Linked DNA regions of Lytechinus pictus. The protein of the gene in region 2 interacts with the protein of the main gene of each other region in a pairwise test. Links are inferred from orthologs where the notes say so. Each region holds a gene or a part of one and is shown on either strand. Other genes may lie near its edges.

Region 1 (10,646 bases), on a different chromosome or scaffold from region 2:
ATCGATATCCACAGAACCCCACCCTTTTTTCAAACTAAGCTATCCTACCATCACCGCACACATCTCAATACCTGGGACTGAACGTTGGCACCCACTTGATTTGGCAGCTGGTAACTGTCTCCATTCGGCATCCCCATGTACTCTGTTCCGCTGCTTCCCATCATGCCCCCACCCGATGACATGCCGTAGCCACCGCCCCCTCCCGAGCCCGAGGTGGGCGTGCCCGGTGACTGACCCTCCTGGGAGCCGGCCGAGGCCTGCGATTGGCTGGACGGGTTGACACTGGAGACGGCCGAGGCGGCGTTCTTTGCAGCATAGAGGTTGGCTTCTTCTTGGGCCTTGCCGATGTTCTTCTTGTAGCGGATCCTCTTGTTACCAAACCAATTGGAAACCTGGAGATAAAACAAATGCAAATGATGACCTTAATTGTTTTAAAGCTCCTATGAATCATATAGTGAATGGGTAGGTTGGGAACTATAGGAAAATAAGGAGTACAGGCATATAAGCAGACCTACATGTAGTCATCTTTTGATCTTGTCCAGGATATTTTTCACACCATTAAGTTTGTGAGACCCTACATAATGCTGATTATTAGGCTAAATATTTTTCACTTGTGCAGAGTAACCTTGAACTTTGAATTTAAATAGATAATTTGGTTGAAAATGATTTCAAATGTTATGAAACAAATTGGTCATTCACACTTGCACACACAAAAAATCATACCAGAATATAAACCATTACAAACTTGACATTTATGTGTCCACAGCAGCACTAGGAAGTTACACACTTGATTGTGTGAACCGTTGTTCAAAGTCAGTCCCAAAATGAGAATTATACATGTATATCTGGGTGATACTGATTTGTAAACCCCCTCACCCCTACCCCCCCCCCCCGGCATACGCATACACACACAATATTATATTATTATATCGTCAGCTATGGATGGTTGAAACTCTTGCATACAACATGCCACCGAGGACGTTTGTGTGTATGACACCAGTGATGTTAAGGACGTATGCAAAGTTTGTCCCATTGTTCAGAGTATTTTACATTTTAGTGCCACCTACTTTAAATTTACAGCCCATTGAGAGACTACAAAAAAAGAGACCCGTCCATGTTTAACCAAACATCCCCGGTTAGATAGTGTTTTATCATACAAAAACACACAAAACCCACACATACAGAGATCCCCACAGTCCATACCTGTGCTACCGTGATGGCGCACTTCCTTGCTAGTTCTTCTTTCGCTTCTTCACTTGGGTAGGGGTTGCTAAGATGGGAGTAGAAGTATTCGTTGAGGATCTCTGTTGCTTGCTTGCTGAAGTTCCTTCGTTTTCTCCTATAAAGACAAATACAGGAAGAAATTACAATGAAAAGTCAAGATATAAACCAAACCAAATGCTGCTGTCACATCAACAGAACTATCTCCAAACTGACTGTATGATGATATGCCATTCAAATATTGCACAACGACTACTTTTTTGTATGCAAGCAAATAGGAGACTGAAAGTGAGAATTTGTACTGTTGCACACTTCCTGTCCAAAATGTTGCATGGTTTCACAGGTGATGTAACAATATAATTCATTTGATTGCACAAAGTAAATAAATGTAGGGGCACTACACGTAGAGCCAACTGCAGATATGATGTGCGCTTCAATCACTGATGACTACGCATGCTGCTGCTCAGGAATTCTGTTTTTGGCTTTAATAATTCTCTGGACGAAAACACTTCATTCTACTTACCAACTGCGTCTCCATCATCTGACCCCTTGGCCATTCTGATCATTGAAGAAATTAAAGGAGATCTTCTACACAATCTTACCTTGCTACTCTAAACCCAGAGACCGGTTCTTTCCTCCTTGGACCAAGTGAATCTTGTGACATACTGTCATCTTCAACACTGAATCTTTATGCCAGAGTCACAGCGGTGAAACCGACTTCAGACTACAAAAAATATATCTTGTTCTCACAGATCATTGATCAGTTTGAAGTCAGTTTCGTTGGTATGTGTCCAAGCCATGGGGTAGGATATCTTGAAGGTGGTCTTACCAGATGTCCAAGAACCATGGTTTTATTCATCGACGACGCCGACTTGTTCCGCCACCTCCAGAGTCCAGAGTGGACATTGATTGAGGGAAAATATCTTTTCCAAAGCTATACTGACTCTCAAATTCCCTACAGTTGATTTGGAGGGAGTCGAGGGGATTGGCACTGACGAATTAGAGAATTTGGGAGTCGGTCCCTCTACGCTAGCTTAGAGAAAGATAGGTTCCATCTATCAAGGTCCTCTCTGGACAACACCATCAGTGGCACTGGAACGTTCTGATCAGACTTAGCATAGGAGGACCAATCATTTTGTGTAAACAACTACTCCACCCCAAACTGTTTGTCAGAGCCAAACTTTCCTCCGCCACTGCTGCTCCAGACGTATCCAACACCAATCGACTTTCAGTAAAGTGACAACTGAATTTCTGAGACTGGGGAACCTTGGGGATGATTATTCCTTGCATCACCGGAACGTAAGGCTAGACAGCTTCACAACCTCTGGAAATATCCTTTAATCTTTTCCAACTGATGCACAATATTATAAAAGATGGTTAACCCAGAGGACATTAAAACTTCCATGCAGATTTTCAAAGCCATAAACCTAAATATCTAATATGCTTCAGGTTTTATCATTTTGTGTGAAAAAAGGGCCATTATCATCTCATTTCCTGACTGGACTAAGGGCATAAAGATTTATGCACGTCGATTACCAATCCTTTCGGTCACGAAGAAGGATGTTAACTCTTGAACACATTGTTCATTTTTATACTTGGGCTACAGTCCTTCCCTACTGGAAAGTACAGTGTCCCACAGTGGGTTCAGTGTGGAACACAATGTGAAAACACCTTCACACTGTTAAATTTGAGCATTTCAACAGTGTGAATCACATATTCGCATAGTCCACAATGTGAACACGCTGTGCACGGTCCCACTGTGTAACACTGCGTTCTTTCCAGCAAGGTTACGCCAGCCGCAGACCCTTTTGCCAATCATGCGGTGATCGGATGTTGTGAGAGGCATAACGATGATCTTACCTGGCATCCAGGAACCTTGAGCGTAGAATCATGACAGCTTCGCAGGTGCTCTGCTTCAGCTGGACCTGGATGGCGTTGAACTTGCGGTGGATGATGCTGACCATGCGCTCGATCTCCTTGGGGGCGATGGGTCGCGTCCTGCTCTGTTCTCGGAGCAGGTTCATGACGTGCGTTGTGAACTCATTACATGCCTGCTTGGGAGTCAGAAGAGGAGGGCATAAGTTGGTATGATAAATGTTGAATAAGGTTCTTGCGAGAACGGTCAAAGACCCACAATGTCGGATACGATTGAAATTTTGAATATTGCGCAAGATTCCGGTGAAGAGTCACGAGTTGCAACTCTAAAATTCATGCCCAGGTCCCACGTGGCACTCTTAATTGTTGGGAAATGAAGTTGTGTTCAATTTTTGGAGAATTTTTGCAATTCTCTCTGCAACAGGTACCTGACCTGTAAAATCACAAGTTTCACAACCAAACAGATAGTAAAATATGTACATATAGATATCCAAACTTTCAATACAATTTTTCCCATTACCTCTATTATTGTGTCATTGACAGTTACTTGTCTAAAAATCATTGTTTGCTGAGCTAAATCATGGAGTAACCTGCATTTCAACTTTTAATATCTTGTCCCCTTGCCTATTCCATCCTTATGATTTGCAATTGATTGATTCAATCAATAAATCAAATTCAATCAATCAATCAATCAATTAATCAATCTCGACTATGGCAAGCCAGTGATACCATCATCTGAAATGCATATGTTCGTTCAAATTATTTCTTCTGTAATTATGAGAAACATATGCGTGCATATTTTGTCCTCCAAGCATGCACTTTGTTTCCAATTGGACAGTTGCATATACATTGTCGATTATGATGCCAATGGCTCGCCATAAGTGGGAATGATTAGATCGATCATAACTTGGAGCAAGACTGGTCCCTGGAGAAGAGACTAGCTGCTCTTCATGATTTCTCACCTGCTCGTATTTTTCAAGTTCCGTATGGTAGATTTGCCTGATCTGAGCCAGCTTCGCCCTGTAATCTGAATGTTCGATAGCATTCTCCGGTTGGCCTAGTCCTCCGCCCGACGCTGCTGCTGCTGCTGCCGCCGCCGCCGATCCTCCGCCCTTCTCTGGCCCTGCCACGCCCTCTGCTATCAGCATATTGTCCAACCGCATCAACTGTGGATCGGGCGGCTCTTCTTCTTGAGCTCCGCGAATACTCAGAACTATAAAGAAGACAAAAAAATAAATATTATATTTAACAATATATTCAGCTGCAATTTTACAATATCAAATGTATGTATTCACAAGATGTTATTATCTAGACATAACACCATGCTGACCAATATTTTGAAGAAAGTTATATCATATTCGTGAGTTTGGCTTTTCTTGGTCAAGTGATGCCTATGGATACGAATATAAGTGATTATCAGTCTTTTACTCTTTTCAGTTCATACAAAAATCTATTTTTATGGCATATTACATGATCCAATCAATTTTTTTTTTCAAGAAAGACAGAACTAACAGGACATCTGGCAAAGTAAGTTTGAATAAGCTGGCCAAATTAACCAAACTTGACGAGAAAAAAATGGAAAGGAAAAAGAACGAGGGAAACTAAAGAGATGGTGAAGTAAAAATAAAAGATTAAATTATGCAGGGGCATGGTGGAAGAGCCTAGCCGCATCGTCGTAGTTTGGTGCAACATGATGGATCACGACTCATCAAGGCAAATCTTTATCCAATATATAATACATTCCCTCAAGAAGCAGAGCCAAGCAATAAAAGAAACTCGAACAAATTAGTGACAGGGAGAGAAAGGAGAAGAGGGATCCCGTAGAACATGAACGTGAGACATTGGCGTCACGTCTCGTCGGAGAATAAACCCGGCGTTTTGAAAGTTATCGTGAAAGCAGTTTCCTGGGCTTCGGGGGACTGATTGAAGAAAAAAAATATCATCCAGAAGTAACTGAATTTGAATATTTTAAGAAGTGAGCGAGAAGGGGGTAAGGGAGGCGATGGGAAGAGGTATGGAGAGATGTGGAGAGAGATGAAGAGAGAACAAGAGAGAATGAGAGAGAGAACGGGAGAAAATTGAAAGAGTCCACAAATGGTTGGTATAACGATTGAGGGTTTAATTGATAGTGGCAGGGGCTCGAAAAGTCCCTTTCCCTCCCTCCATAGAGTACGAGGGGTATCAGTAAGAGAAGGGTCAATGCCCTACTTTTCCATAAAAAAGGTATCCATGGAGAAAAAGGGGGGCGAGTTTAATTGAATCATCGCCACAAGGTATGGGTTTTACATCAAAACTAGTTGAGTTTCATCCATCATAAGAGCCCGGGAGAGCGTTGCCCATTCTCTTAACAGAATTCAACAATCGACAGTAGTAACATGCATCGGTTTCAGAAGCTGTATTGATGAGGAGGGGTCACGTAGGTAGTTAGATATGAGAAAAAGAAGCAGTCTGGAAAATTCAGTATGGAAATAATGACTTCACTCCTTACAAGAAATCACCTACATCTGCGTAATTTCTCTCATTTTCTCTATCTTTTTTTCTCTGCCTCTCCTCTCTTTATTTCTTTCCCAGTCCCCCATTCTTTCTCCCTGTCTCTATTATTTCCCCTTAAGTTTACCCACACTTCTTCCTTATTTTCACTCTCCTTCTCTTTGTCACACTCCCGTTGCTCTATTTTTTAACTAATTCCTTCTCTCCGCCTCATTTGTAGTGTACATCCTCTGAAATATATTCAAAACCTTCATGGACGAAAAAAATAGTAATACCCTTAAAAAACTCGTAGAGAGAGTGGAATTAGAAAGCAAACAGCAAATTTCATTAATATGACTCCAAACCCGTCTTCTTAACTGGCGAAGCTGACACATATACATCTCGACGAAGCCTGCTTAATCAAGTGTAGCCTTAAGGGTCATCAATGCAGCCATCACAAATCTGGAGAAGATCCATCTCGCGCAGGGGGTAAAATTCAACTAAATCGACAGAAAAAATGAACAGCAATCAAGTAAAACCCCCTAAGAATATCAAGAGGGATTTGTGACTTGTCAAAAATCATCTCCAAATTGTCTGATGGGATGACTTCATTTTTTAAAAAACTTTCTGTTTAAAGAAAATTTTGATATTCATAAGGAGATTATAGTTGTGACATGTGAAGGTCTAGTTAGGTGGGGAAAATGACAGATAACTATGAAATATTTTATATTAGTTTATCAAGATATACTCTATGGTATGCTATAAATTTGTATATGCGTACCCTTATGATGCTTACAGGCGATATAAGTATCTATTTCCTCGTTTTTAGCTACCAACATAAAAACAAGAAGTAAAAAAAAACCACAAGAGCCTCACTTCAAATGCAACATTAAAACCACTATCAATTAATCATGTAGAATTTACTTCTGTATTCATGACAATATAGGTAGCTGGCTATCTGCCATATATGCATTTTAGAGAGATTTATTTTTCAAAATCCACTCTTTTCAAAAGCATTTGAAATGACCTAAAAAAACATTTGAAGAGTGTAAGAAAAAAACACGTTTTATTTAATACTCGAACAGTTTATTCAAAAGTTGGAGCTGTACAACTATAAAGCAAAGTAACTTTTGCTTTAATTTGTAGCTGTGTTAGAAGCAGCTTTCCATAGTGTACTCTTTGATTTTTATATTGATGTAATTTGAATGATTTTAATTTAGTCGAGTAACCACGAACTTGACAATTCAGTGCTTTGTAAGTAACAAAATCTAATGTGCCATTATAGGCTTTAACTACTGTCAAACTATGAGACTTTAATATTAATGCCAATAGTAAATTCATATGTTTAATCTCATTTCTGACAAAACATCATTTTGAATACAAAATCATTCTTACATATGATTGAGGAAGGAGTGAATGTCAGGATCCACACATCTGCACTTTGCTGGTGTGTTTGTGGGTATCACGCTACATCATACTTAGGCATTATTAAAGTCATAGCCCCCTCTTGTGATAGGAGAGGGATAACCCAAATAAGTTCAAATGAAACAACAGTATGGGGAGTATTTGCATGAGAAATAGAGATGAGGATGAAAATGATGACAAAGATTATTGATGGCGATTAAGGGTGATGGTGATGATGATGATTGTGGTGGTAGTGATGGTGGTGATGACAATGATAGTGATAATGATGATGGTGGTAATGGTGGTGGTGATGATGATGGTGATGACGATGGTGATGACGATGATGATGACGATGGTGGTGGTGATAATGATGATGGTGGTAGTGGTGGTGATAATGATAGTGTTAATGAGTATTTATTATTACTATTGATAGAAAATGAATATCATTCTTACATATGTAATACAAAATATGGAACATTACAACAGCACCAAAAATAAATGGGGAAGAAAAAGCAGGAAGATATCATCCAATATGTCGGAGATGGAAGATACAAAATAAAGTACTTTGATGAGAACTAGAGTAAAACTAAGAGAAAATAAAGACCACATAAATTAAGTACAAAAAAAATAGTCAATTACCGGAGGAAACATAAGACAAGAGAAGAGGAGAAGACGAGGAAGGAGCGTTGGGATTCGTCTATATACGCTCCAATAACCCCGAGATGAAGCAAGGAGCTAATGAGAGAGGAATACACGCAGCTGACGAGGGCTATCCTCCAACACCCAAAACCCTGGATGCCTCCAAACCCAACACAGCCAATCAGGCAGCACGAAGCCACCAAGAACCCTGAAGATCTGTAATAACTAATCACCATCTTTTTACAGTTTCACTCGTACAAACCTGCTGTAATTTTATAAATACTATTTTTAATAAGTCAGGGCCTACACATTTTTAGTTAAAGGTATTGTTTAACTTTGTGAGCAGCCGATTTAAAAAAATTCTCAAACCAAGATGAAACATGTGTACAAGTGCATGTATTAGAACTAATAAACCCTGAAAACAACCATTATTGAGAATGAAAAGCTAAAACTACAAGGCAAACCCCGATTTTGTAAATAGGCGTCTTATAGACGCCTAAATAGTACACATAAGTGTATGGGATGAAATTAAGATGGTGTTTTCGGTCACTTTATATTTCAATTTTTGAAGCACTAAATAATTATTTTCGAACGCAATTTTTTCTGGGCTTCATTTTTTGTAACATATCACAGACACAGGTGACAAGTGTGACCTTCTAGCTCAGATTTTTTAAAAGTCAAACCAATGTTAACCAATCACTTTAATTCTTCAAAATGTAATACAGCCAAAGTGATTGATAAAGACAACCCAAGAGAGTCGGTCTTTACAGACAACAAAGAAAGTGAAACAAGTGATCTTTATAAACAGGTGACTTTTTTTACTATGTTTTAGAATATGTTCAAGGGAAACCAATCAGAAAATTCAGTCTTTATGGCCAGTTCGTACTTCTATGTAAGGTTGATTGGGTCTGAAATCATTTTCAAAATCTTTTGACCATGCATGAATATTGAAAATGAAACATTCAAATATAGAAGAACCCCCGTCAACTGTGGCTTTTCAGAAATAATTCATTGATTGTAATGGTATATCCCCACAATGCATTGAGATTGTCCGATAAAGATATGTTTTCACACCCCCTGAATCACAAAAAAATATCTAGTATTTTCTCATAAGGTATTGCACCCAGATGATCAGAAAACAGCTTATCTGGTATTTGCAGGTGTGAGAGTAAAGTGCTTGTACTATTCGGAATAGAAAACACCTGCAAGTTATAAGGTACTTTTCAAATTTATCTGAATTGTTTAGCGATTTTGCGATCATGGCAATGTGAAGGAAAATTGCCATAACTTTCAATGTCAGGCCAGAACAATGCACATTATTATTGTATGGAGTACAAGTTGCATTTCTTGCTTAACTACAGGAGCTTTCTCTGGTTCAGGTTGGTGTTAAATGAACAAAATTAATTGTGAGATATTTTGAGACCTGAGCAAGTTCTTTATATATATATATATATATATATATATTTATATATATATGCATACATCCTATGTAAGGGCGAAGTCTATGAATGGGTTTATTCCGTCATAATACACATTTAGACGTTAATTCGAAGGTAGAGGGCGTTAAGGCGCATTGCTAACATTGAAAGACAAAAAAATTCGCCTTAACTGCAGATGTAGATATATATATATATATATATATATATATATATATCTAAGTTTTTATTAAAATACATCATCAAAAATTACAATATTTACAAAGGATTTACAAGATTAAAACAAGAAACATACAAGAAATAAAAAGGCAGATTACAAATAAACTAGATAAAGCTTTCAAGGGTGCGAGACCTGAGCAATTTCAAGTAATCGAGGGGCATTTTCAGATCTAGTAGGGTAGGAAGCATTCTAACAGCAGAGTAATTGTAGATTTGAATGAGAGACCTCAGGTCCGTGTCAATCATCATTCCTGCCCTCAAACATGGGATTGCTAAATCCTTTGATGACCTTGGCAAACCCAAATCTCTCCCCCAATGACCTCCTTGGTATTCCAAACAATGACATGAATTACCCCTCCCCCACAATCATATACACTGTCTATAGAGCACCCATTCGCTTCTCCTCCCCATCCCCCTATTTTCTGTCATTTTGGTTTGAAGTATGAACTACTAAAGTTTTCTGCAAATGTAACTCTTATACCCCCTTATTTTCAATCCTGCATAGTCATAAACATACTATATTGTCAACTCCAAAACTCAGACTCTTGGTAATTAGGGTCCTTTGGAGGAAGTGCAAACTTGTAATTTAGTTGGTATAACTCCTGTGACATACTATTTCATATCCATGTTTTATACCTAATATAAGGAAAGTTGAAGAAACATTCAGGTTGACCTTCTTTCAATCCCAAAGGCCCCCTTTCACCTGCCCCATCCACACCCTTAACCCTATCCATACAATACCTGAATATCACCCCTTCAATCATTTCATTCAAAGCCATTTCATTATGTCACTTCACAAATTCAAAGAGATTCTTTCATTGCAGCCCCATTCTATGACATCATATCAGCAAGAATGCTTATCTGGTTCCAATCAAGAAAACTCCTGGCCAATGAGGTTAACTATGCCCTCAGGCACATTGACCCTCCACAGGGGTTTGTATTGGGACCTCTTTTCTTCGGTCATTTTGTTTCTCCCCTTCTCCCCCTTTCCCTCTCTCTTTAAATTTGATTAATGGTAAATACCATGGATAACTTATATCTTGACTAATTTGTCCAAAGTTTGGTCAATTAGAGTTTTTAGTCTGCATACGAGCAAGAAACAATGGCAATGGAACTTTGAAAAGGTTAAGGTTGGTAAATCTAATGATTTATTTTCAAAGCTAGGATTTATTGTTGGCTGAAATTAAAAATCATGTCCCGAGACTCGCATCATGAAATAGATGCAAATTACAATCTAATATTTATGGATAAAATTTGATATTATAGGATTGAAATAAAAAGGTGGGGTACAAGCTTAAATGAAGTATTTCTTCTATACTTGGTCAATTTATAACCCACATCTCTCAAGCAATGAATAGGATTAATATTTCTGGATAAAATCTG
Region 2 (9,661 bases):
CCGTATTCTGAAGTCGGGTTTTACTTAAACTCAGGTTTAAAGTTGTGGTTTAAGTATGGATAGCCAATTGTTACATAAATCACTAACAGTACTAGAGATATCATATTTCAGCTCATTTGGCTCTCAAATCATTCATTATTTTCTAGGAAGTATAAGTAGATGATTGTCTTCACCATTGATGAATCAGGAAAGAGCAAAGTAAACAACAGAAACATACAACTTGATAAAAATGTTGACACTTTTGGCTTCCCATAACTTTAGCACAGAGATAGACCATGGTCTAAGTTAAACCTGACTTCAGAATACGGGCCAGTATGTTTACAGGACAATTATTTGTAACTGTTTAACAACTACTGTAAAGTTCGTATAGCAAATGGCATTGTACAAAAAATTAAAATAACGTTTTTAGAAGAAAATCGAGGCACTAGTCCATTGGATTTGCAGGTAGTCCAGATTGGTCAAGTTGTTTTGAGGAGAGATATCAACTTACCATTGCAGGGAAATGTGAAATGGGATGTGTGTCAGCAATTATTGCCCATTTTTACTTTCATTAAGAAATTACCTGCCATGGACTTGAACTGTTTTTCAGTAGGCCTACTCAATTTTGGTCCGAAGATGCTGGTAGCCTGCAAACTTAAAGAGAATGAACTCTACCCAAATAGAAAAAAAGCAGATTGGTAAAATAAGAACATACATGTACATGTACTTGGACAAGTAAGGAAGCAAGCAAACAAGCGAGAAAAAAGGAACAAAAAAATTGAATTTTTGGAAGTTGTCATCACTACAGTAAAGTGTAGATTTTTTTATAAGAATAGTATAGATTTGACCAAATAGACCTTTATATTAAGGGACCATTTCCAGTTTCCACATTTTGCTTTTGAGTACTACAAAACGATTATAAAAGACATTAAATGTCATATTTTACTCCAATTGATATGAGGTGTGATCTTATGATTATCGCCGGAGAGAAAATGAGCTGTCCCCACAAGTCATTGATGACTTATGATTTACAGCGAAGACGAGAGCTGTCTATGTTTAACTCAATGTCACATTTGAACATCGGTTTCCCATTTCTAGTTTAAATTACATTCACTCAGTAAAGTAAAGTCAAATGTAGACTTATCAATTAATAATTAATTTTGTTTTTTATGACCGAACTGTCTTTTCTTATTTGTCAACACAGATAATGTAGCTTTGATAGGGCATCAGAAAAACTCGACCAAAAAAGTAGTGGATATGTGCCGCGGGCGAGAAAAAAAAAGGGGGCCTTGGAGCGGGCTTATTGTAAAAAGGAGGGTCCTCGGAACGGGCTTCGGAACAACAAATGTTTGTGAAAACGGGGGTCCTTGGAACGGGTCGCCTGCGTGTGATTGTGTATTCATCATCCCTATGGAACGGGCATACGTGCATGCAGCTAGCCCGGCGGCACGGGTGCGCTAGCGCAGATGCGATGGTCGGACAGCGCTTTGCGGCTCATTGTAGCAGATCAATACCGCTGGAACATCGTAACGGAAAATATGCGAAGCTTTGGAGCGGATTTCTTTCTTCTTTTTTCTCGATAAGAAGAAAATACTATGCTTTGGAGCGGCCTTCTGTGTTCTTTTTCTCAATAAGACAAAAATGCTATGCCTTGGAACGGAAATTTGAGTGTAAAAATGGGGGTCCCCTCCGCGGCACATACCCACTATGCATTATATACTGAGTGCCCCCCCCCCCGGGTTTTGCTGTACAATATACTATTCATTGGGCAGTTCTCAAATTATAGAAGGGGCATGACTTCAAAGAGGGCTTGACTTCCTAATTCCCTAACCCAGTGCCCATTATTTCCTAACCTACTGCCAATCCCCTCATCTCTTCAAGGAGACACATATAAAGAATGAAAGAGAAAGAGAAGAAATAAATTGAGAAACAAGAATAGAGTATTGTTAGAGAAAGAATGAAAAAAGACAGAAAGAGACAAATCAGGATTGCTTTGAAGAGAGAAAAAAAATTGTTATTTGTAAAGACACACAAGATGGATGTTTGGAAGGTAATAAATAGCAAAAAGACATGCAGCTACAAACGATAAAAGAAAAGTGAAAATGAGAGAGGGAGAGGGGCTGGTCGAAAGTGTTGTCTTCTCTTCAAGGAGACACATATAAAGAATGTAAGAGAAAAAGACAGAAATAAATTGAGATCGAGGGAAGAATAAGAATAGAGAAAGAATGAAGACAGAGAAATCTCAAGATTGCTTCGAGAGAAAAATGCAAATGCATTATAATTGTAAAATGGATGGGCGGAAAGTAAATAACAGAAAGCGAAGAGATGACACGATCATAGAAAAGTAAAAATGAGAGAGAAAGAGAGGCTGAGAGTGTTGTCATCTATCCAAGGAGACAAAGAATGAAAGAGAAAGAGAAAGAAATAAATTGAGAGAGAGAGGGATGGAGAAAGAATGAAGAATGAGACGAATCAGGACCGCTTCGAGAGAAAAAGAAAAAGCGTTATTTGTAAAGACACAGGTTGGATGGAAGGTAAAAAATAGAAATAAAAAAGACATACAATTATAAACGGTAATAGAAAAGTAAAAATGAGAGAGAAAGAGAGACTGAGAGTGTTGTCATCTACTCAAGGAGACAAAGAATGAAAGAGAAAAAGAAATAAATTGAGAAAGAAGGGTAGAGTAAGAATGAAGACAGAGAAAGAGACAAATCAGGATTGCTTTGAGAGAAAAATGCAAAAGCATTATATTTGTAAAGACAGTTAGGATGGACGGTAAATAACAGAAAGCGAAAAGACATGCAACTACAAACGATAATAGAAAAGTGAAAATGAGAAAGAAAGAGAGACTGAGAGTGTTGTCATCTATTCAAGGAGACACATACAAAGAATGAAAGAGAAAAAGAAAGAAATAAATTAAGAGAGAAGGATATAGAGAAAGAATGAAAGAAAGACGGAAAAAGAGACCAATCAGGATTGCTTCAAGAGGAAAAAATGTTTGTAAAGACATGTAGAACTGATGGGCGGAAGGTAAATAATACAAAGCAAAAAGACATGCAACTAAAAAAAAATAATAGAAAAGTGAAAATGAGAGAGAAAGAGAGACTGAGAGTGTTGTCATCTATTCAAGGAGACAAAGAATGAAAGAGAAAAAGAAAGAAATAAATTGAGAGAGAAGGATATAGAGAAAGAAAGAATGAAAGAAAGACGGAAAAGTGACTAATCAGGATTGCTTCAAGAGAGAGAAAAATATTTGTAAAGACATACAGAACTGATGGGCGCAAGGTAAATAACAGAAAGCAAAAAGACATACAACTACAAACGTTAATAGAAAAGTGAAAATGAGAGAGAGAGAGAGAGAGACTGGGAGTGTCGGGATGAATCATATGTGTATGATTGACGTTTCCATTGTTTGGTTTATTGTTTGCACATACCAGCAACTAAAGGCGTCTTTGTGCACTTTTTATGACCCATACACCCAGTCAATGTCACAGAGTGTGGAGTGTGGTTCAAGGCTTGAGGCATATTTGGGGAATATCAATTGAAAACAAACCTTTTCTAGTCAAGTACAGTTTTAGTATTCAAAGTCAGGGGATAATTTATAATCATGCCTAATAATAGAGTGTGTAAACTCTTGCTTGCATGCTCCGGGTATGCTCCCCTGGGTGCGGAGAAAGTGTACATGTATACAGTGTGTGCAAGCTTACAGAATCTGTTAGTGACGACATGTAGAAAACAGAAACTTTCTAGATTAGTCTGAGTACATGCACAGTAAGGGAATATGGTAATATGTACGTGGGGGAAGGTTTACGGTTCACCATGTGTAATATGAAGAAGGGAAAGGAAATACAGGCAGAAAGATTGAAATGGAAAGACCAGAAAGGATGAAAAGAGGAAATTAGAGGTAGTCTTTTCTTGAAAGTGAGTGAAGTCCTGAAAAAGGACTGTAAACCAGATGAGATGAGCTGAATATGGCTTGAGTAGCGATGATTTGAGTAGTAGCAGGTTGAAGTAAGAGAGGTTACTCAACGTTTTGGCAGGTTGACTGTCCATCTTTAGAAGTGGTAATAAGCCAGAGTGGTAATATGCTTATTCAAAACTCTTGACTAAATCCTCCTATGGAGTGTAGAAAGTGCATTTATTGTGTGCGGGCTTGTGAAAATCCGATGAGATCATAATCGATCTCAATTTGTTTCTGTGTCTCTTGGAATGATTAGTTCAAACATCGACAACTGATTTTGTCATGTATATCTGTAGGTAATTGGTGAAAATATCGGTAAATTGCCAATTCGTCCACTGCCAACTTGTCCACTCACCACATGGTCTACCTTCATTTAGTCTAATGCCATGCCGTCCATCAACATTTTGTCTAACAACCATTTGGTGGACAATAATCACTTTGTCTAATCACCAGTTCGTCTATTACCATTTCGTTTAATAACCAGTTGGTCTAATACCCATTTTCTTTTCCTTCATTTTGCACAATTAACACTTTAGTTTAATTAGACCAAATGGTATCTGGACTAAATGGCTATTGGACCAACTGGTTATTAGACAGAATGGCATTAGACTAAATGAAAGTAGACCATGTGGTGAGTGGACGAACTGATGGTAGACAAAGTGATAGTTGACGAGTTGGCAATTGGACGAATTGGCATTAGACGAAATGTTTAGTTTGAGAAATTTATTTTGTACTTAAAGCATACTAATATAGTTGCTGCACTATGCAAATTGATCTTATTAAAATTATTATTTCATTTATTATTTTTAGGCCAGTGCAACCTGACCAATCAGGATGCAGCAGTCTAGCGGCGAAGAGTCGGAGAGTAAGCATCGTCCTGCCGGGACTAGGACAGTACCTGCTAGCATCCTCAAGGCAGGAACGGAATCAGTTGGGAACCTTACTCCCGAAGAAGCAGAAGAATTACAGGTCCAGTTAGAGAAAGATAAGCGAGCAGTATATCAGTGAGTACTCTCTATATATAGCTTAATGGCCTCCAATATTGCTTAAAAAACCATAATTATTACTAATATAATACCAGAGTATACTTCACTTTAAAGTCTGTCTCAACCAGTACGGGTCACTGATGGACAATTCCATGAAATATGCACGTCTGACCCCATGTATGTGAGACATTCATGAAATTTTCTGTCTCTGATTTCTGGTTCTTTTGACAGTCTTCAATGCTGTCAAATGATCATGAGTTGGTCAGTTTATGAAGTAAATGGGAGTTGCATGTACAAAAAGGTTGATTATTTTACAGAATTGCTCTGATGTGAAGTCTGTAGCTCGAGTATCTTCTAACATTCAAATTGTTAAAAAATGTAGAGGTCATTGATGGTTTTTCAGCTGTAAGAATTCAATTCCAGTACCATCTACCATTCATGTTTTTATTGTTTATTAAAAAAATAGGTGTTAGAGATTTTCAAGTTCTTACTTGACTAATTTGTTGATTGAATGTCAGAAAGCTACAGACAAAGATTATATCTTGAAATTTTCAGCACATTCCATGCTTGAGAAATGAGAAGGTTTCATATAAGCAAGATAAAAAATGTGCGGATAGTTTACTTTGATGGGCACCTGATCAACGTAATTTTTTATGTAAAATTGTTAAATTTATCAGATTTAACACATTTTCATTTTTGCCTCACTCGCATCATAATAATGCTAATGATGATAATAATGTAGGATATATAAAGCACATGTATCACCTTGTTACATGTAGGTGCTCAAGGCGCTCCTATTTTAAGGCACACACAGCTCGCTCCACCTTTAACAAAGGCATTATATTTTTTTTATCTCTAGACACCCTCTGTTCCCACTCATGGCGTTATTATTTGAGAAGTGTGAACAGGCCACCCAGTCACCTGACCCACCGACGTCGGCGAGCTTTGATGTCGACATCGAGGAGTTTGTCAACAGGCTGAAGAGAGAGGGCAGCACATTCTTTATTGAAGACACAGAAATTGATACATTAGTGAGTATAGTTGTTGAAGTGAATCAATCAGCCATTATTGAACCGGGTTGTACAGAACCAGTGGTAGATCCTGTCGGGTGGGATACAATACCATATCGTGGGTCATATTGTTTGTGTATAATGGTGGGCCCATCCAAAGTATTGTGTGTAATCCGACTAGATCCACCCATGGACATGAGCCATGGACCCGTATTCTGAAGTCGGGTTTAAGTTAAACTCAGGTTTAAAATTGTGGTTTAAGTATAGATGGCCAATTGTTACATAAATCACTAACAGTAGAGATATCATATTTCAGCTCATTTGGCTCTTAAATCATTCATAATTATCTAGGAAGTATAAATAGATGATTGTTTTCACCATCGATGAAGCAGGAAAGAGCAGAGTAAACATAAGATACGTACAACTTAATAAAAATGTTGATACTTTTGGCTTCCTATACTTAAGCCACAACTTTAAACCTGAGTTTAAGTTAAACCCGACTTCAGAATACGGGCCATTGTAATTAATGATAAAGGAGAATTTTTATGCCAAAAGAAAACATTTTCAGCATTTTCCGGATGTTGATGTATTCATGATGTAAGTGTGGTTAATTAGGAATGAAATTGAGATGCTGAACCACTTTCATATAGTGCTGGGCGATATTTCAACGTCAAAATTATGCGATATTGAAAAATACTAAATATTCAATTTATTATTTTCTTTATGAGGGTGTTCCTATATGTTTGGAGATAATGCATCTTGCAGATTACTCTATAATTATCAGATTCAGAGTAATTTGCAAGTTTGTTGAGTTCAACTAACCAACTTCTGTCTTTATTGTGGCACTCTACAGCATGCTTACAAGTATAGAAGTAAAGGATCACAGTGAGTGCTAACAATTTGTATCAATGTTATTTCTTATATCTTCCAGATGATCAAAGCAATCCAAGTACTAAGAATACACCTGCTAGAGCTGGAGAAGGTTAATGAACTTTGTAAAGACTTCTGTCATAGATATATAACTTGTTTGAAGAGCAAGATGCATAGTGAGAATTTATTGAGAGATGAACGGTAAGTTTTAACAAAGGGATAGATTAACTTTGTCAAAAGAAGAGACATTTGCCTCTGACTTCATGAGAAGTTTACAGGTGCCTTTATTTTGAAGACCAGCTTAAGTTAGACTACTGTCTAACGCTGTGTTTGAATTATGGAAAGCTTGAAATGTCAAATGTTTGTGTAAATTGTTTGTTTTCTAATGTTTACTCTGCTCTTTCTTGTGGATTTAATGGTGGAGAAAACAATTTTTTTTAATTATTTCCTGACAGTGATGAATGAATTGAGTGTCAAGTGAGCAGATAAATTGAACTATGATAAAAGTATAATAATAACGGTATATTTCCTAAGGGTAGCCACTTCAGTTCAGAAAACTGTTCTCTCAGCAGGCCCTGCTATTATTATTACCCAGCTAAGCTAGGCTACCGATTAATGTGCACACAGCTTTTTGAGGAATTATTTCCTGCTGGTACCCATTTACCTCACCTGGGTTGAGTGCAGCACAGTGTGGATAAATTTCTTGCTGAAGGAAAACACGTCACGGCCAGGATTCGAACCTACGACCCTCTAGACCACGACACGCCCACTTATACTTGTACTGTTACAGATATTTGTTGTAGATGGCTGTCCATAATTAAACCATAACTTAGATCCGAGTTCAGAATAAGGGTCAATGTATTTACCTAGTGTGTAATTAACCATACCTGAAAGCCCAATGTTGCAAGAAACGTGCATTCAATTCCAAATCAAACATTAGTCCCAAAATCAAAAGTCTTTTGATGGGTCTTTATTGATGTAACTTGTTTTGTTTCAATTGGAAATACATGTATTCTCTATGTACATCAGTGAAATAATAACATGTTCCACCTTTTATACTATATTAAATAAATAAAAGATTGAAATTTTCAAATGGCTTATTTGCCTATAACTATTCACAAAATTCTACATATTTGTGAATAATTTTCATGAAATTCCTTTGTGTTTCTCTTTTAATGTCACTGTATTTATTTCAATCAACTTGAATTTAGCATGCACGACCCCACTTAAGTCAGAGCTTGACTAGGTACATGTAATTCCTGTTTAATATCTTGTTAAAGATACTTGTAACCGCTGAATATTTCTTTTCTTTTTGATGTTTTTAGAGGAGAAGCCACTCAATTTGATAGTCAGTACTTATCCAACGGAGATCTCTTAGATCTAGAACCACCGCCCACGGAACATAATCAGGTATGTGTTCTTAAGAGACATTTCTTATCCCTAATGGATTAAAGGGGGATGGGGGGGGGGACTGGGAGGGGAGAGTGGAGTCAGACTCCCTCTTAGATCTAGAACCACCGCCCACGGAACATAATCAGGTATGTGTTCTTAAGAGACATTTCTTATCTCTAATGGATAAAAGAGGGAGGGGAGAGTGGAGTCAGACTCCCTCTTAGATCTAGAACCACCGCCCACGGAACATAATCAGGTATGTGTTCTTAAGAGACATTTCTTATTCTAAATGGATTAAAGGGGGAGGGGAGAGTTGAATCAAGACTCCCTCTTAGATCTAGAACCACCTCCCACGGACATAATCAGGTATGTGTTCTTTAGAAACATTCCTTATCCCTAAAACAGTGTGATGAATGCGCGAGCTGTTGTCATACTACTACGTGTTCTTATTTGAATAATTAACATATGTCTCATGATTCCTGTAAGATTTGAAGTTATTGTGTTAGTAGATTATTGTATAGGACCTATATGAATTGTCAATAGTTTCTAAGTAGTACATCACAAGTTAGGACTATTTGAATTTACACACATACATGTATCGACTCTGTATTTGAATTATATGTTTTCTGATTATTTCTATATTCTTATGTTCAATTAATTGTAATGATGTTTTCACTTTCGTATTCTTTCTTGTTCTTTGCCTAGATATCTTGTATATTCTTATTTTCTTTGCTTATAGCGGTTTGAAACTGCTGTATAAAAAAATGTGTATATTATGATTATTAGTATTATTAGTGACGCTGTGCATAGCTTATATGTTAATTGATTATTACATCCATTATATGGATTACCATTTTTCCAATTGCCTTTTTCTGTTGCGATACATCTTTTATTTTCTTCCTTTTTCCCTTTTCTTCATATTGTTTTTAGATCCAGAACCATCCCACCTCAACACCAAACAGCCAACCTGTTATATTACAACATGGAACACATTCACCGGCAAATCAAGTTAGTACCCTCTTGAATAAAACCTTAGCTCTATTTTTATGGAGTGGTAATCAGCATAGGAAAAAAATGAGGGCAATAGGGAGTTTTACCCTAACAAAATCTCAAATCTCCCCAAGATTCCCCAAGTTAAATACTTTGGGCTATGATCTCTTCTAAAGTCACCCCAAGATTAGCCAGAAAAAATATTCATGAAGGTTTAGAAAATCGAAAAGTAGAATAATGAGAAAAGCTTTTACAGCATAATTGCTTGTTGCAGAAAAGTAGTCCTTGAAATTCAATAAGTAACAATGATGGACAATTTTTCTAATTGTACTATAACTTTTCATCTAAGGAGTATTTCTCGAATTAGAAGATACATTGCTCAATCAGCCTGTGATAATGCACCACGTTTTCTAGTTCTATCCCGTTTAGATTACTGCAATGGCCATCCCTGTTACTCAATTAGAACATATTCA

The links.
Region 1: the proteins of homeobox protein PKNOX1-like (region 2) and pre-B-cell leukemia transcription factor 1-like interact in binary tests that used the Caenorhabditis elegans proteins (3 or more experiments, as listed by UniProt). The link is inferred for Lytechinus pictus from reciprocal best matches to the Caenorhabditis elegans genes unc-62 and ceh-20.

Annotation. Positions count from the first base shown.
Region 1 is NC_087259.1:8,799,804-8,810,449, reverse strand, and holds the start of pre-B-cell leukemia transcription factor 1-like, read right to left. Parts: upstream 4,309-10,646; 5' UTR 4,260-4,308; coding exon 4,059-4,259; intron 3,276-4,058; coding exon 3,082-3,275; intron 1,340-3,081; coding exon 1,204-1,339; intron 393-1,203; coding exon 72-392; intron 1-71. UniProt on the Caenorhabditis elegans protein: Transcription factor that binds to the 5'-TGATNNAT(G/T)(G/A)-3' PBC/Hox lineage enhancer region of sem-2 to promote cell fate specification in the postembryonic mesoderm (also known as the M lineage).
Region 2 is NC_087252.1:19,663,565-19,673,225, reverse strand, and holds the start of homeobox protein PKNOX1-like, read left to right. Parts: upstream 1-4,749; 5' UTR 4,750-4,774; coding exon 4,775-4,944; intron 4,945-5,785; coding exon 5,786-5,957; intron 5,958-6,867; coding exon 6,868-7,007; intron 7,008-8,131; coding exon 8,132-8,216; intron 8,217-9,128; coding exon 9,129-9,206; intron 9,207-9,661. UniProt on the Caenorhabditis elegans protein: Acts redundantly with ceh-20 and ceh-40 to perform overlapping roles during embryogenesis.